Linked DNA regions of Arabidopsis thaliana. The protein of the gene in region 1 interacts with the protein of each later gene in a pairwise test. Each region holds a gene or a part of one and is shown on either strand. Other genes may lie near its edges.

What was found.
Region 2: the proteins of AT2G45850 (region 1) and AT1G80000 interact in a two-hybrid assay, tested with the Arabidopsis thaliana proteins (one large-scale study listed by BioGRID).

The regions. Positions count from the first base shown.
Region 1 is NC_003071.7:18,868,905-18,876,634, forward strand, and holds AT2G45850 (AT hook motif DNA-binding family protein), read right to left. Parts: upstream 5,069-7,730; 5' UTR 4,716-5,068; exon of another isoform or gene 4,618-4,715; 5' UTR 4,554-4,617; coding exon 4,103-4,553; intron 3,836-4,102; coding exon 3,768-3,835; intron 3,681-3,767; coding exon 3,549-3,680; intron 3,463-3,548; coding exon 3,301-3,462; coding exon of another isoform or gene 3,277-3,300; exon of another isoform or gene 3,231-3,276; coding exon 2,997-3,230; 3' UTR 2,584-2,996; downstream 1-2,583. Other genes in the region: AT2G45840 (O-glucosyltransferase rumi-like protein (DUF821)), read left to right, coding at 382-540, 628-1,214, 1,362-1,539, 1,638-1,702, 1,798-2,008, 2,212-2,583; AT2G45860 (uncharacterized protein), read right to left, coding at 6,009-6,128, 6,460-6,521, 6,607-6,664; AT2G45870 (Bestrophin-like protein), read left to right, coding at 7,024-7,704. UniProt on the Arabidopsis thaliana protein: Transcription factor that specifically binds AT-rich DNA sequences related to the nuclear matrix attachment regions (MARs).
Region 2 is NC_003070.9:30,089,889-30,099,655, reverse strand, and holds AT1G80000 (CASC3/Barentsz eIF4AIII binding protein), read right to left. Parts: upstream 6,850-9,767; 5' UTR 6,462-6,849; coding exon 5,995-6,461; intron 5,684-5,994; coding exon 5,584-5,683; intron 5,419-5,583; coding exon 5,213-5,418; intron 5,128-5,212; coding exon 4,448-5,127; intron 4,225-4,447; coding exon 4,122-4,224; intron 3,884-4,121; coding exon 3,764-3,883; intron 3,364-3,763; coding exon 3,311-3,363; intron 3,180-3,310; coding exon 3,119-3,179; intron 2,988-3,118; coding exon of another isoform or gene 2,978-2,987; exon of another isoform or gene 2,942-2,977; coding exon 2,914-2,941; 3' UTR 2,751-2,913; intron 2,666-2,750; 3' UTR 2,333-2,665; downstream 1-2,332. Other genes in the region: FRS8 (FAR1-related sequence 8), read right to left, coding at 1-1,900, 2,005-2,091; AT1G79990 (coatomer subunit beta-2), read right to left, coding at 7,707-7,729, 8,008-8,173, 8,307-8,436, 8,677-8,783, 8,885-8,978, 9,061-9,257, 9,361-9,432, 9,517-9,631. UniProt on the Arabidopsis thaliana protein: Core component of the splicing-dependent multiprotein exon junction complex (EJC) deposited at splice junctions on mRNAs.

The sequences.
Region 1 (7,730 bases):
GAATTAAATAATAAAAAATATAAAGTTGAGAAAAATGGAGTTTGCCACGTAATCACTATAAACATACAGGATAATGGCAACAAGAAATATTGGTTAGTTTCAGGGTAATTAATTTCGCAGAGTCCATATATAGTTTTAACTTATTAAAGTGGGTTGCTTCGGTTCTGAAGAAACAACCATTAATTATCTATTTTCTTCATAAAATTTCCTCAGAAAACATGGGTCTACACATCCAACATACTACAATTCTTAGATACAAATGAATCAATATCTGTAATCCTCTTTTCCTTCTACCGTCACAAAACTAATGTGATCCTCTTATCTTTCTCTCTCTCTCGTTCATTTTTTTTTGTCTTAGGTTGAATTAAACACATAATATCTATGAGTTCTCACGTGGTTGATGATCAAAGGCAACCTAATAACTCAATCTCGAGTTTAAGTTCTAAACTAACCAAGCCATGGATCACAACCACAATCTTCATCTTTGTCTTCTTCTTCTTCATCATCCTCGTTGGAGCTTCTCTCAGGTGGATGGACATGGTATATCTATATCTATACATAATTATTCATTACAATCTATTAGTAACTCAAATGGGTTTCCCTCAAAAATTGTTCTTTCTTACATAGTTTTTAATCGGTGGAGGTAGAATCAAAGTGACACCAATATTTACAAGAAACACCAACGCAACTATCCCCAAGGAAAAACTCACTACACCACTGAACTTCACATTGCAATGCTCACTAGACCAGAACATAGCAACCCAGACGTGTCCTGCAAGCAACCCGGAGAAATCACAACCTAGTAAGGACGAGCCAGAGACTTGTCCAGACTACTTCAGGTGGATCCACAAGGATCTTGAAGCATGGCGTGAGACTGGAATCACTCGAGAGACGTTAGAGAGAGCAAGTGATAAAGCTCACTTCCGGCTGATAATAAAAGGAGGAAGAGTGTATGTGCATCAATACAAGAAATCTTTTCAGACAAGAGATGTTTTCACTATATGGGGAATAGTACAGCTGCTAAGGATGTATCCTGGTCAAGTCCCTGATCTTGAGCTTCTCTTCATGTGCCATGACTCACCTGAAATCTGGAGAAGAGACTATAGGCCAAGACCAGGAGTCAATGTGACGTGGCCACCTCCTCCACTCTTCCACTATTGTGGACATTCCGGTGCTTTCGACATTGTCTTCCCTGACTGGAGCTTTTGGGGCTGGTACTATAATCGATTTATGGTTGCATACAAACCCATCAATCTGTATAAAAATACGAAAACCGTTATACAGTTATAAAGAAAACTCTTGTTTGGATTTTAAAAGTTTGGTTCGAATATCTATGTGCTCACACCCCTAATTATGGTTAGGCCGGAGATTAACATAAAGGAGTGGAATAAACAGTCGGAGTTGATAAGTGAAGGGATAAAGAAGGTGAAGTGGGAAGAGAGAGAGCCTTACGCATATTGGAAGGGGAATCCTGGAGTTGCCATGGTCAGAAGAGACCTCATGCATTGTCATGACCCTATGGTTCATCTCTATCGCCAGGTTTCTTTATATTTATATCTCTTTACCGTGATCTCTTTTATGATAATGATCTAGAAGATTCTAGTAACTTGATGAGTTGATGACAATGTTAATTGTAGGATTGGAGCAGAGAGGGCAGGATTGGGTATAGGACATCAAACCTAGAAGATCAATGCACCCACAGGTTTTATATGAATCTTTTTGCTGTTCTCGAGTTATTTGATGAATTAAATTTTAATATTAGTAATAAGGGCTTATTTTTATTTTTGTATAATGAAGGTACAAGATTTATGTAGAAGGAAGGGCTTGGTCAGTGAGTGAGAAGTATATATTAGCTTGTGACAGCATGACTCTTCTTGTGAAGCCATTTTACTTTGACTTCTTCACTAGAAGCTTAGTTCCAATGGAGCATTATTGGCCCATAAGACCTCAAGAAAAATGTAGTGACATTGTCTTTGCTGTCCATTGGGGCAACAACAATACCAAAAAGGTATCATATAACAACATAACCGCTCCTGTGTCTTTAGAAACTTCAAACAAAATATTTTTTTTGTTTTGTTACAACTCTATCTTTTCTTTGATGTTTAGATTTCTAGAACAATTTGGTAACAAAAGATTCAATAATATCTCTTAAACTAGCAAGAGAAGTACTGTAACAACAACATTTTGCTATGATCTTCTCATGTTTTATAGGCCAGAGCTATAGGGAGAAATGGAAGTGGGTATGTGCGAAAGAATCTAAAGATGAAGTATGTGTATGATTACATGTTGCATCTACTGCAAAGCTATGGGAAGTTGATGAAGATGAATGTAGAAGTGCCTCAAGGAGCCAAGGAAGTGTGTCCGGAGACAATGGCTTGTCCAATCAATGGAGGCCGAATGAGACAATCTATGGATGACTCATTGGTTATGTCTCCGAGCGTTAAGGCTACTTGTGAGATGCCTCCACCTTTTGAAGAAGATGAGCTCAAAAAGTTTCTTGAGAAGAAAGAAAGTGTTGAGAAAGAAGTTGAGAAGTGGACTAATGAGTATTGGCAGGAACAGAAGAAGATTCTTAAACATTGAGCTATTATAAAAAACAAAATTAATTATGTACTAATACAAATTTGATGAAAATAAATTGGATCATATGAAGGCCCATGAAATGCCCAATTTTCAGGTTCCCATGTAAACTTCTACACAATGTACTGAATCTAAGCTGTAGAATCAGAATTGCAAGCAAATTACATAAAGACTGAACAATCTAAAACAGAGAAAGAAAGGAACTCTGCAAATCTTCAGAGTCACAGAAACAGTAAAACCAAACAAGCTTAGAGATATGAGAGGTACACTAATAGAGTTAATCTTTTTCCCTAACATTTCCACATAATCTTTTTCCCTAACATTTCCACATACTTTTGTTCAGAGGTTAGCTTATATTCCTTCTTCTTCTTCCTAGATTCCATGCTTTATATACACAGAGTTCTTTCTCGCTATCATCAACCGCGCATTAAATCAATATCAGCATGAGCATGACGCATATCCATTTGCCTTGAACCTGTTGACCAAATCAGGTTTTGGTTTGGCTGCTGCTGAGGGACAGGCGAAATCGTGTTGTTATTATTGTCCAGAACGTGGTGATCATCAGTTTCTTGAACAACTTCAGAAGCTTCTTCTTCTCGTTTCTTGCTCTTGATCTTTGGAGCTGCCCATATAAAGCTCCCTACAATAACCTGATAGACCCAAGAATCTTTATTCAATCCCAAGAAATATGAGAGCTCAAGAGAAAAGTGTAAACCAAACCTGAACAGGACTTGCAGCTATTAAAGGCCCACCAATGGCACCGCCAATCACACGCCCATCGGGGCTAGCAAGCGAAACCGATAAGTTTCCAGTTCGGTTACGGAAGCTTCCATCAGTTGCCACTATATAAGATGTTGATAACGCTAGGATTTCAAACCGGCCCTGGAAATATACAAAAACATATGTTATAAGAAAAACAGTGAAAACACCAATGTTTCTCTATATAGTAAGAAATTTCAAAATTGAACCTCGTATTTAATGGCTCCGGGAGATGCTGATGGTTGAATAAGTGTTGCAGTAGAGACTGCACCACTTGCAGATAAAACGCAAATGGCTCTCGGACCTTGTTGAGAGAAAGCTATAACCTTTGATGCAATATCCTGTTGCAAAGTTTCAAAGCTTTTCAGCAATCAGCAAATAAAAAACATTTCACGAAAGCTCTGAAATAGTTAGTGATTCAACATTACTTCTCCTATTGAAACCGCGATAACATGTGGCGTGAAGCTCATTCCAGAAGATGAAGGCATCAGTTCACCTAATCAATTTCAAAAGAACAAAAAAAACAGGCTCATTGAATCAATAAATGCGAGTCTAATTCATAAGAGTTTAAGCAGAGCATAATACAAAGAAAGACAACAAAATTAGTTCCAATTTAGGAAAGTTTTAAGTTCCCACTCATTAGGAATAAACAATTGGATATTTTGACTTGAGAAAACATAAAATAATCCTGGTTCTTGATTCAATATATAATGGAGCTTTCTTTTTTCAAGATTGCAAGTTTCAGAGATAGATAGTTAATTACCAACGGAAGCCATTCTCTGTTTCTTGCCGGAGCCCGGAGGTCGACCACGGCCGCGTTTGTTAGAGTTGTTGGGAGTAATGGTCGAAACAGAGGAAGACGACAGAGCCAAAGAAACAGAGCCGTCTTGACCGTATTTTCTAGGCCGTCCTCTCTTTCGTTTCATCGGAGTTTCACTGGGAGGTGGAGGAGGAGCAATCATATTAACGCCGATATGATGAGGAAGAGCTCCGGCTCCTCCGGCTGCTGTTGCCAGAGAAGGATCACCGTGTAAAGAAGGAGATCCGAAACCAGTGGAGCCTGACCCGAATGGAGAGTTTTGATTAGGTAAGTGACGAAGACCTTGCTGTTGCTGTGGTGATCCATGAAACGTTGGAGGACCCGACCCGGATAATCCTCTATGGATATAGTAAGAACCTGACCCGGATAATCCCATTGCATCTCTTCGATCCATTTCGCATTTACAATAGTTGAAGAAGAAAGACTCTTTTCAACTTTTTAAGTGAACTTGTGAAACCCTAAAAAGATTGTGGCTAGAATTATGAGGAGAGAGAGAAAAAGAAAGAGGATAAATGGATAAGAGGAAAAAACAGAATCAAAGGTTGAGAGACTTTACGATGAAGATATAAACTTGGAGAGAAAGGAACATGCAAAGCTCTAAACACTTTCTCTGCTTCTTACTTCTCCTCCTCTCTCTCTTTCATTCTTTCACCATAAGCAACAAGAAAAGAAAAGCTTTCTCTTCTATCAACAATGGTTAGGACTTGGTTTTGAGGCTATCTCTCTCTCTCTCTCTTCTTGAATTTGTTTGCTTTTTAGTTTTCTGGGTGACAGAAGGAAACAGAAACAAACAAAAAACCTCTAACAGACTCTCTCTCAAGCAAAAGCATTTACTGTGAGGATAACAACAATGGGATCTTTTAATTCTTTTTTTTCTGAAAATGTATTTGGAAATTCAAAATCCTAATGAATAAACTGACTTTGACTGTAGCTCTATATAGCAACTAGGCATCTGTATGGCACATGACTCTTATGGCCACACTCTTTATTCAGGCGCGTGCACCAACATGTCACTCTTCTTTCTTCTCAACCAGAAATCTTGGTGAACAGATTCCTCCTTTTCAAGCTGATGCTACTTCTTACTAGTCTCTCTACTGTTTCTATAGACTGATTGATCTCTTCGGAATTTGATCTGAGACGGAAGAATCTGTAGAGACAGTGGAGGCCACGCGCCGGAGAGTGAGAAAAGATTTGGGCCTGTCTGGTCAGAGACTTGCCCACTGGCTTCCACTTTGAGAACTATTTTGACGAGAGAGAGAGGCTGATCAGAAGAAATCTATAAAATATCTCGCAAGGACCCATTGATGGGATGATATAACCTCTCAAAGCCTTTGAGATTTTTTCCTATTAGGATTCAACTTTAAATGTACCATGTAATGTGTGACACTGTTTGTATAAGACTTTTGATTATGACAAACATAATTTGACTTTCTAAAAGACAGTTTTTTTCTTCAAAATATGTTTAGTGGAATACTGGAATGTACTAATAAACTAGAAAAGATCTTGGGTCTGACTAATGCACCATGAAAGTCTTATGCCAATTATAAACATACTTGTGTCTTTGTTTTGTTTACCTAAAAGTTGACTTTTTCTCAGAGAAATCAGAATCTATGCTGAATTTGAACTTTAGAAGCAATTAGGAACCATACACATTTCACTTCATCAATAGCTACATTCCACAATGATCCCGATCCGGTTAGATAGCAAAATCTTGCATTCAAAAGAGAGAGTGATACATAAGAGTTTAACCTATAAGAAGAAGCTAGCTTCAACATGATTTCTCCAAAGTAAAGACGAAGATCAATGAAGAACAATTTTACATACAAGTGAAAAAAAACGAAGTTCCTTGTCAATTGTCTAGCTCCATTGCCTGAGCAGCTTTAGCTTTAGCAGTTGGAGTCAGTTTTGTCTTTAATTTCTTCTTGCCAACAGAAAATCCACCTTTCTTCTTCTTCCCACTTCCATCAACCTAGACAACAAAATCAACCAACTCACAGATATCATAAACTACTCTAGACTTCATTTAAATGATTTGGAAAACTCAAACTTATTCGTCAGATGTTCTACTAAGAAGATTCAATATTATTATTTTTACCCCACATAAGCTTCTGACTAACACTATCGAAATCAAATTGAATCCAAGCGAATTCAATCATTTCACCATTGGTAACCAACTAGAGTAATATATAGCTAGAAAAGACCATTCTCTGCAACAGAATCGGTTTGCTACTTAACGAACACCAATGTATATGAACTAAATATCAGAATTAAGAGATAAGAGAGACAGAAAAGGTCCTTACTTTCATCTTATTCTTGTTGGCATGAAGCTTCTTGATCTTCTTGTCCTGTAACTCTTTCTCTTCTGCAAATCGAAAAAATTCCAAGTTTTGTTGAGAAACACATGCGTATTGAATTGAAAGCGTTTAAAGAGATTTAAAGAAACCTACTTTGGAGATTGTACTCGTGCTGCTTCTTTCTCTTGGCTAAATTGTTCTTCTTCGACATTTTTTCCGTTCCAATTTCACCTCTCCAACCAGATAGGCGTTCTCTATAAACCCTAAATTTCAACTGACCTCAAAGGGTACGGAACTTTAATGGGCTGAGATAAGACATAAGCCCATTTAGAAGATAGAATAGAAGTTTCAGTATAAGCCCATTTAAGCCCAGATAAAAGCTTAGAAACCGAAACGTTGTCGAGCGCACAACTGTTCGTTCCAACTACCTTTCTCCAAGTCACACTTGTCTCTCTTTACTTATGCACTCTGCAATTTTTGCATGTGTCTTTATTGTTGTCTCTGCTTCTTCTTCTTCATCGTCGTCTCCACCAAAATCCCTAACCCTAAACCTCGATTTTCCCGCCCAAAATGTATCAGTCAATGAACCTATCTTTTTCTTCTAACTTTACCAACCTATCCTTTCTCAAACCACGATTATACTCCGGAATCTCCGCCAGAGCTCCCAAATCCCTACATTTCAAATTCAATCCTTCCTGCGTCTCCTCCGGCCCCAAATCCGACGATTCACCTCTATCCGAGAAGCTCATTTCGCTGCTTAAAGCTGTCCCAAACTGGTCTGACGGTATCAAAGAGAGACGGATGCAGCAGAAACGATCTCTCTACACTCACGAGAATTGGGTCAGACACAGAAGCTCTCTTCGCCATCTCCGTCACGTATCCTCGAGCCCATCTTCACGCGTTATACTGTCTTTGATTCCGCCTGTTTTCTTCTTCACCACCGTCGCGATCCTGATCGCCGGCTATAACTCCGCCGTGGATTTGGACTGGTTGCCTGATTTCTTCCCTGTACTTCGAGCTTCTCCTCTACCGTATCAGCTTACGGCTCCGGCTTTAGCTCTGCTTCTAGTGTTTCGCACTGAGGCTTCTTATTCAAGGTTTGAACAAGGAAGGAAAGCTTGGGTTAAGATCATTAGTGGAACCAATGATTTAGCTAGGCTAGTTATTTCTTCTGTTCATGGCTCCGGTGATGAATTGATCATCAGAGATGCGCTTTTGCGTTACATTGTTGCTTTCCCTGTGGCGCTTAAGGTTTGTTTTGTGAAGTTAGCTTATGT
Region 2 (9,767 bases), on another chromosome or scaffold:
GACGTTTCACGTCCTTCCGCCACCGTTGCAGTATATACTGAGGCGGGACTTCCTGCAAGCCGTTGTGGCTGAGTAGGAGGAGCACGTGTCTGCATTGGTACCCATTGAAGCTGAAACCCCCACAGACACAGAAGCAACGTACTTGTGCTGCTGCACTTGTCTCGTAGATGACCTCAAAGTCTCTCACTTTGTCTCCCTCCCTCTCTTTCACTACGTACGAGGAGGCCGACCCGTTTGAGTGGACTTGCGTTACTCCAAAACATGAAGACATTGCTGAGACCTCGTCTTGGAACCTTCTAAATATCTCCATTGTGAAGACCTTTGCCATCTGGGACTCGTAGGGGTGCGTTGTTTTGAGCTTGGGGATCAACTTTAAGGACTCTGAGTCGCACAAGGCTTCTCTTGTGTACTTTTTATCCAGAAAAGATTCGTACCCTTCAAGGAATTCTCTCAGGGATGTGTTCTCATGAACATAGCCACTGAAGATGAACGGGGCTGCCACATTTCCCAGTGGAAAAGTCAGCGCCCCGGCCAAAAATGTATCCTTGAGGTAAACTGGAGCCCAGAGTTCTCGATCTTGAAACATGTCCCTGATGGTCTCGTTATTTGTCATCCCAAAGCGAATGATCATCTCTTCCCAAGCTGTTTCAAATTCTTCGACCTTGAGACAACCGTAGACTACTCTGTTAAGTGCCATAGGGAACAAGTCAGAATCTTGTAGTTGGACAACACTCTGACAGATGTTGTGCAGGACGTGGGTCAAGCTAAGACGATGATGAGCCCTTGGAAAAACTTCAGAGACAGCGGTCCGCATTGCCTTGCACTGTTCCGTGATAAAGATCTGTGGGGGACGGCCTAACATGCAGGTTAGCCACGCTCTGAAGAGCCAGACATAGGTCTCAAAGCTCTGATCAGCAAGCAAACCACAGCCGAGCAAGATTGTATCTCCATGGTGGTTAATTCCAACAAAGGCCACAAGGGGAAGCTCGTATGCGTTAGATAAACAAGTGGTGTCGAACAGAAGAACGTCGCCAAAGTGAGAGTATGCAGCCCTAGCTCGAGCGTCAATCCAAAAGACATTCCTGAGACTCCCGTCGTCGGCAAGGTCCATGAGGTAAAGAAAGTTGGGGCTGGAAAGCTGAATTTGGAAGAAGAAATCCTGCAAGGCCCTGAAACCCCCTCTGAGCTCCAAGCGCCTTGAAGATTGGAAGTGATCAAGGCTGAGATCGCTGGTCTCCCCGCTAGAGAGTGAAGTTCCAAGAGCGGGTGGTGTGTCAAGGGCAAGGGTTCGATACAATTTGATAGTCCGGACTTGGACATGGGGAGGTGGTTCGGGATTTGTCTTAGTTGCAGGAGAAGCTGAGGAGGAGGATTTCTTGTGAGACTTGGAATTGTGGGCACGTTGAGGATCAAAGGAGTGGTTGTGGTCGAGTTTGACTTGATCAACTTTCCATCGATCAAAGTGGATGAGTCGAAGGCGAATCATGGCCTGGCAGCCGGTGCGGGTCTCCTTTCTCCGGGAGTGAGCATCTTTAAGCAGCTTGAAACCTTGGCAGTTGCAACACAAGACAGCACCACGTTTCTCCTTGCTGTTACGCTTAGTCCAGGAGGACTTGACGCGGATAGCAAAACCGAGCTCACGGGCGTATGAGTTGTAGAAACTGTAAGCATCATCGTAGGACTCGAACTCCATTCCAGGAGTAGGAGGAGGAGCCATCAAACACTTTTCATTAGCAAAAGCGTTTTCGTCGCATCCAGTTTCTTCTTCGTGATTAGGTGCGATATGAAGCAAGCCGTGACAACAGGCGTCATCATCATCTTCAAGGTCAATATCGAGATCAGGGATTGGAGGAGGAGCAAGGTCATCATCATCATCATCAACAACCAGCTGCTCTTCCATCTGAAGACCATCAAATTCAAAATTGAAATCGAAATCGGAAACCCAAATTGAAATCAAAATTTGTAGTAAATAGAGAGAGAGAAAGGAAGACAGTAGAAACCAACCGCCGAGATGCAGAGATTAGGGTTGGGCGAGAGAGAGTGGTCGGACGGTGACGGTGACGGTGAGATGTAGACGCTATTACCGATCATCTTCCACTAAACTAAAAACTAAAATCAACAAACAAACAACAACAATCGTTTCATCTCAGAGGACGCTGAGCTACCTGAATCAACGGAGACTCTATCCCTTTTTTTTTTTTTGCTGCGCCAAGGAATAAAGTTTCTATACACTTGGTTTGTTGCATCTATTCTATGCGGTCTGTTTTGTTTTTGTCGCATAACTAAATAACCAGAGCGGAGGCATGTCTTTATATATATGGTAACAATTCCTCAATGACTCATTTCTCACGAATCGGGTAAATTTGACTGAGCACCACCACTATCCCCTTGCGTAAAATATAAAACATAGACAACTAACTACCATCAAAACTCAACATGGGCAATTCTTGGGGGGACTTCGCAGGCGTACGAATAGGGCACACAACTTTTGATAAAGAAGTTGACAAACGAAAACAGAATAACACATATCAACATTACAAAATATCAATTTGAACCCAAACGGACAAAAGAATAAATTACAGATGAAGGACGCCCACGGCTCAAGCTCAAGCTCTCATAACAACGAAAACAAAACAAAAATTCTTTTCAATTGCACAACAACCTCCTGAAAACAAAACAGCAAACACAAGTTCAAATTATAATGTGGTTAAAACCTCTCTTCAATTGGTATCTTGAGAGAAATTGCGTACCTAATAAAAATAGGTAACAATAATAGCAGCCCAAACGGCTTCATAAAGCAGTTGGAGAAGCACCAAGGGCCTGCTGCTCCTAAGGAGCTCTTCTCTCTCACCCTCCTCCTTTCACTCCACTTAGTCAAATTAGATGACCTTCTTCCTTTCCACTCTTCTTTACTCACTTGCTAAAGCTCATCTCCGAGTATCTGCACATCCCTCGTCAACATGTGCTCGTTAGTGTTTCATTTCATCCTGGACCAATATTAACATTTCATTTCCACAAATATCTGTATCCAACTACTCCTGTGGTACTTTGATTTCAAGGTGGTTTCACGTCACACTAACACTGACCGATAAATAAACTAGATTGCTTCAAAACTCACCTACGAGGCTGCTTGTTTGGGTTGCTATTTGACCGTTGAGAATTCCCATTGTTCGTAACCTCTACATCAATAAACCCCCATACGAATCAGTCTCTCCATGTAATCATTCAAATTTCTTATTCGCCAAAACACAACAAAATCTTCTGAATCCATTATAACAACCCCATTTAATTGGCAAGAGTTATTACTTACCAGGTCTCTCCATGGGCTCTTCATCATTAGGATTATTGGAACTGTTCTCTTGGCTGCAACAAAAAATCAAAAATATAAGGTAATTGGGTACTTGAGCTCAAATTATATGCTTTACTAGACGCTCATAATCAGAGATGATTGACATGGTTACATGAGTGCCCAACCAAGAAAGTGAGTCTGTTTAATGAAAACTACATGTTTCTGGGTGTACATAGTCGAGAAACTACTAATCTAAGCACTTAAGAAATGTAAATCTAACAGGTAACAAGCATTTTGCAGTGGGTCTAGAATAAGAGGAACCACAAATCTAAAATCTCACATACGTTACTTAGTTAAGGGCTTAAAGCTGCATTCCCATACTACTCTTCCTCTAAGGTAAAAAGCAAAGAGTCTACACATATGCATATGGAAATGACATGTTGATTAACAATACTGAGAAAATTATTTCTAAACCTGGACGATCCGGCAGAGGAAGGTAACCCTGGTTTGTCTGCTTGGTAAGAACCATCAAGGACAGTATAAGGTGGACAATATGAACCCCCTAATGCTCCAGGGCCAGCCAAAATTGGCAGCCTGTCAATAATTTAAGAAAATAATAGCAGTAATAAGGACCTACTATAGATAGAGAAATAGGGAAATCAAACAAAAAACAAACAGCAGACGAGTGAAAGCAATAATTCAGGTTCTGTTTGGGCTAGTAAAAGACTAGTTACAAGATTAAACATCCTCTCAAATTACAAAAGCATGCAGCAAGTCAACTAAGAATGCACCAAATATATAACTTTTAAAACATAGCTGTGGAACTGCATACCATGTCATCTCAGGATTTCCGGTACCATGTTCTGGTTGGAAATAACCTGGAAGAGCCATTCCAAAAGTTGGAACCCCACCATGCTGACCACCGAATTGCATAACTGAACATGAAAATGAAAACAAACAAGTTTAAACTAGTCAGGCGTGCATATTAGCACCTGTACAAAAAGGTGCCGTTCTCAAGCGGCCCTAGACATGGGCAACCAGGCCAAGCGGCTCAGCATCAATAGCTCTCAATTTCACTAGCATGCATAGATTGATTCTGAAAGATGTCTTTCAACCATTACAATGTAGGATGAACAATGACATTCAAGAACAACTTACCAGGTAGAAAAGCAGGGAAATTTGGATTGCCGTGACCAGCTGCCATCCCGGCAGGGCCCATAAACTGTGTCCCTCCATACATAAAAGATCCCCTTCCACTAGGTTGGAGAGACCCTTTTCCCTTGGCAACCAAAGCACCTGTTTCTACGGCTGACTCTATTTCACCAGAAAGATACGGATTTTCTGATGATCCGGTTTTTGGAGGAGAAGAAGGCAGCAAACTGATAACAGCCGAATGTTGATTAAAAACCTGACCAGGAAGTTGAGTACAGCTCTGGTCAGTGCCTTTAGGCATTCCACGGATTTGCATCGGCGAAGAAACTTTGTCACCTTGATTAGGAGATTGCTGGTAAAGCACTTGCCCATGAGGAGGTACACCTCTACCATGACTTGTAGTCTGAGCAGTGCGTCCCCACAAGGAGCTGGATTTTGTATTCCCAAACTTCTTTCCAGTCGGATTAGGGTTTTCATTAATGTGCAGCCTACCCATGCCAGCTTGTACATCCTTTTGTGCCAAGTTATTGTTGGATCTTGAAGGATAAAATGGAGGAGAAGCTGAATTTAAACTTGAAGCAAATACATTCTTTTTGGCTTGGATGGCTTCAGTCTCTAAGGTAGCTGTTTCTGTTGGTGGACGCCCTAAATCAACGTGTGACACTTCCACAGACGAATTTTGGGACCTAAAGATTCCGTAAAAAGACACAACAATTAGAGACCTAGAGCCTTCATGTGTTGACTAGAGAGGAAACAAAATTAAGGACTCACTGTTTGGTTTGCACAGAAGGTGCTTGATTCCCATTTCTCAATGCAACCTCATATCTTCTGGCCCCCCTCCCTCTCGTGACAGCCTTCGGAAACTGATTTTGGTGTCCATTGCCAGTAAATTCTTTAGAATTGTTCCCCCGAGACTGTCCACGGTCCTGACCCCTACCCTGACCACGACCTCTGCCTCGGCCTCTCGAAGTCCTCCTCTATGTTCACAAGTTTAATTAATCAGCTTTCAAAAGGAAAAAAAAAAGGAAAAAGAAAAAAGAGGTGGCAAATGTATAAACACAGCAAGAGGAAACAAGTCGATGAATACAAATATATTTATGAAAAGGAGAGAAAGAGAAAGAGAGATGATCAGAGAAAAGTACATCATATTGCTGTTTCTGTGTATTCATTTCCTCGAATTTGTCATGTCCCCACTTTCTTTCATCTCTGGATTGCCAGAGCCTCCTACCACCACGCATTCGCCTACAGAAATAAAAAACGAAAACCTATATCGGTTGGCATTACCATGTAACTAAACAGAATGTTAAATGGAAAAATAGCAGTGTGATGGCATCTCGGGTAGATTCATACATAAAGATTCACAATCAAAGTTAAAACATAAAACCAAAGCAGTTGTTCCAATCTATCTGAACTCTGAAGTACATCATGAGATTGAATGACGGAAAGTCGTTTGCTAATTTCACCTATCAATGTACTCTACCTCAATAGTAGATAGATACATTTGCATAGTTTGGACAAAACACTACCTCCTCATAGAATCAAAAAGAGTTTACCTATTAGAGGCGGCATCCAATTCCTGAAATCTGTCATCATGCATATAGAAAGCTCCAGCAGTAGGCACTGCAAAAGGTTCCTTCTTCTTTTGTTCCTCTCCATCCACAAGATCAGTGGCGGCAGAGTCATCGGTCCCATTGCCGGCGACAATTGTCTTGTCATTATTATCCGCAATGTATTCGACATGGTCATCAACTTGTCCATAATCACCATCTTCCTCTTCGTCGTCATCATCACCATAACTATCTTCTATGTGCAATCCTTCATTATCATCAGAGTCGACAACAACAACACCACTGTGTTCATCGGAATGAATCTGGATTGCTGCTCGCAGCTTATCATGGTCGTCCGCTTCTTCATCATCCTCATCATCATCGCTGGCTTCTCTCCTCCGTGTAGCCAAGGAGCGGTTCAACTCGTCGGGATCACTCTCATAGTCGGAGTCTTCAACGCCATCAGGGGCCATCAATCCCTCTAAATCGGAGGGCCAAACCGAAAACCTAGAAGAGGAATAAATTGAATAGAGCAATCAATCGGATATGGGACAAACTAGTATATCTCTACGGAGAGAGACGACGATACCAGGAGATCAGAGCGAGAGAATCTCCTCAGTGTTTCTTCATGAGAGATCCGCAGATAGATAGATAGAGAGATAGATAATTATAATAAGAAAAAACCTCTTAAAGATTATTAAGATTGATTGGGTTTACTTTGTAGACGGGAAGACTCTTTCCGTTGGGTCTTCTTATCAAATCGAATGGGTTTTTTACTACTTGTAGACTGATGATGATGCACCTACAACATTTGACGCTTGAGTTCTTTTTTCCCAGTTTTTGGGAATTATCCAACTTGACTACTTTATTAACTTTTTTTTAACCAACAATACTAATTGATAAGTTTAATACAAATTAGCTCTACCTTATCACTTTTTCTCTCAACTATTGTTGTCTATTAATCCTGACAAAAGTGACCATGTTAATATAAATAAAACATGTGGTTTCTATATAAATCAAGGGTATATAACTCCATTGGTCAACAACTTGAATATCAATCAAAACCGGAAAATTAACTTCCATAGGTGCATGCAAGTGTGTAACTCAATGGAGTAGTTGAACCTATACACAGTTTGCAGTAAGAAGCAACAAGAAAATTTAAAATCATTTCCAAGACAAAATGGGTAGAAGAATAATGATATGGTGATGGTGATTACGGACAGTGGAAGAATGCAAGGAACTTTGTTTTGGGTCCTTGTTTGCTTTGAGAGATGTTTCGAGATGCGTCTCCTCCACAATACTAATAATAATGCACCATGCGTTATCCTCTGGCTCTTTCCCAACTTATCCCTTCACTTTGATTATTTCCAATTAAGTTTTTTGCTACTGCTATTGAGTTTTGCAAAAAAAAAAAAGATATCAACTACATAACCTATTGAATCGAAAGTCAAAACATATTATATGGGTGAAATCTCAGTTCAAAACAGATATTCTACAGGTGAAATCTCTCATAAGTTAAAGCTACATAAGAGTCCCAAAACCCCCTTTTTTTTTAATATGTATCTGTATTAAAAGCACAAAGCGGAAGCTATCAATAGATCAGTTTTTTAACAATGGAAACTAATCTCTCTCTGTGCTGCCTCATTTCTCTGCTGAATGTATCAAGTTTCAAAGCCAAGAAAATATCTATCTGTGTATGTCTTCACTCTTCACCAACCCTACTCTTGTGGCGGTGTTAGAACTGTACAACAAACAAATATTTAATCAGTCCACGGATTGATAAAAAAGTTAATGGCATAGAGAAGCACTATTTAAAAGACAGTCAACATCAAAAGTAAGATGATCAGTAAGACGAAGATGGGAGGCAGACAGATGAGGAAACATTGATGGACAGATGCAAACGCAAATCCTATGATATATGTGCAGATGGCAAAAGGATATTTTGGTGCAGCGACATCTTATAATCAATTGATAACCACAAATGCTATAAGGCTGATGCGGTTCCTTCACTAATCTTACCCCACTGTTCTTCAGACTCGTTACCATTAACTAGCACAGCACCATCCGTAGAGTCAGCGTCCACCACAACAGCCTCTTCTTCCACATTCTGCTGTCTCCCATCACTACTCTCTTCCTGACGATCCTCCTCCTCCTCTTCCTCTCCATCTTCCCCCTCTTCCCCAACCTGTTCACAACAAATGAAGCAGCGACAGTAGAATTAATGATCCTACCATTGTCCACCATGGCCAAGACCATTGGATTGGATATCATGGGTAAAAGACAATCCTCTTCAATGCATGTAATGTAAACATGCATACCTCGTCGAGAACATCCCCTTGCTCAAGTCGACCCTCTTCCTCTATTTGCATAATTCTAAAAGCATCCACTAAAGTTGTATGATCTCTGTCTGCATGACTACAATAATCCCCAGCAGGAGGATGGACGCCCCTGCAAGATAAGTCAACAAAAATACTTTGTTTATGAGGATCCTGAAAAAATGAAATCGACATTCGGCTTATGTTTATACGGGTATAAATTCAAATTATAAGCAAATACATGACGGCTACCTTGCTATGTAATACAGACACATGACTCTAAATGGCTTAAGTCCCACAATTCAATTAAAAAGGTTTCCTCATAAGCACTGTTTTTAAGAATAAGCTAATGACGGCAACGACGAAAAGATACCTCGTCTCTGCAGCTCTATTTTCAAGGGACAGGGCGACTTGCCACTCCTCAAAGAGATTGGGATACTCTTCGGGATCAGCCAGAGATTCAGCAGCCTTTGGACTTATCTATATCCAGATTGACAGAGGATGAAGAAAAATTGTGGATATCTCAACAGGCAAGGTTTGAAATTCAATCACAAGGTGCATCGGATGTGTCTACCACTAACCTTGGTCAAATCGTTTCTCCACAATGCCACTATTTCGGAGACCTTGCTTGGAAGGTACGATCTCGCCATCAGAGCGGCTTCAGGTATTCGATTACTGTAACCATATTAATATCAGCATAGACGTAATTAGTTGCGGGAATATATGTTCCACATGTAAGAAATAGTAAACAATGTACCTTTCCACCAACAGATGCAGGCAGTCTTCTACTTGACCCAACATGAACAAGCAAAGAAAAGCGACATTGTTCTTTCCTTGCTCTTTTGCAAGTGCTGCCAGCTTCATCATTCCATCTGCATCTCCCAATGAAGAATAAAGCAGCAGCAGACCACTCAAATCCATAGCATGCCTCATGCATTCCTCAGCCATATCCAGCTAAGTAGTCCAAGCATGGGAAGGAAAATGAAAAGAAAAATACATGTTAGCTTTAACCTTTGTAAGAATCCTAGAACACTGATTGCAGCTAAAAAATGGTCACCTTCCCACTTGACATAGCTAATTCTCCAAGTTGCTTCCATTTAGATTCATTTTGTGCCTCTACAGCAATGTCCTGTCAAAAAATAAGAATCGAGTAAAAACATATCGGTAAGTCATGGAAATAAAGCTTCTCAAATGGTAAAAACTACAGACTAACCTTTGCGACAGCCAATCTACCGAGCTGTATGGCCAACTCAAATCTGTAGTCAGGATCAGTTGCTACTTCTAGAGCATCTTCTGTCATGCCACGTGACTCCAAAAAGTGTGCCACGCTGACAAAACGAACAGGATTTTGAAGTCGAGAATCAGAAAAGTAGGAATGCGTGAATTTAGGAAAACAATTTAAACCATTATGTGACCTTGGATACATGTTTACTAACACCATAATCCAGCTGTAACCATAATGCG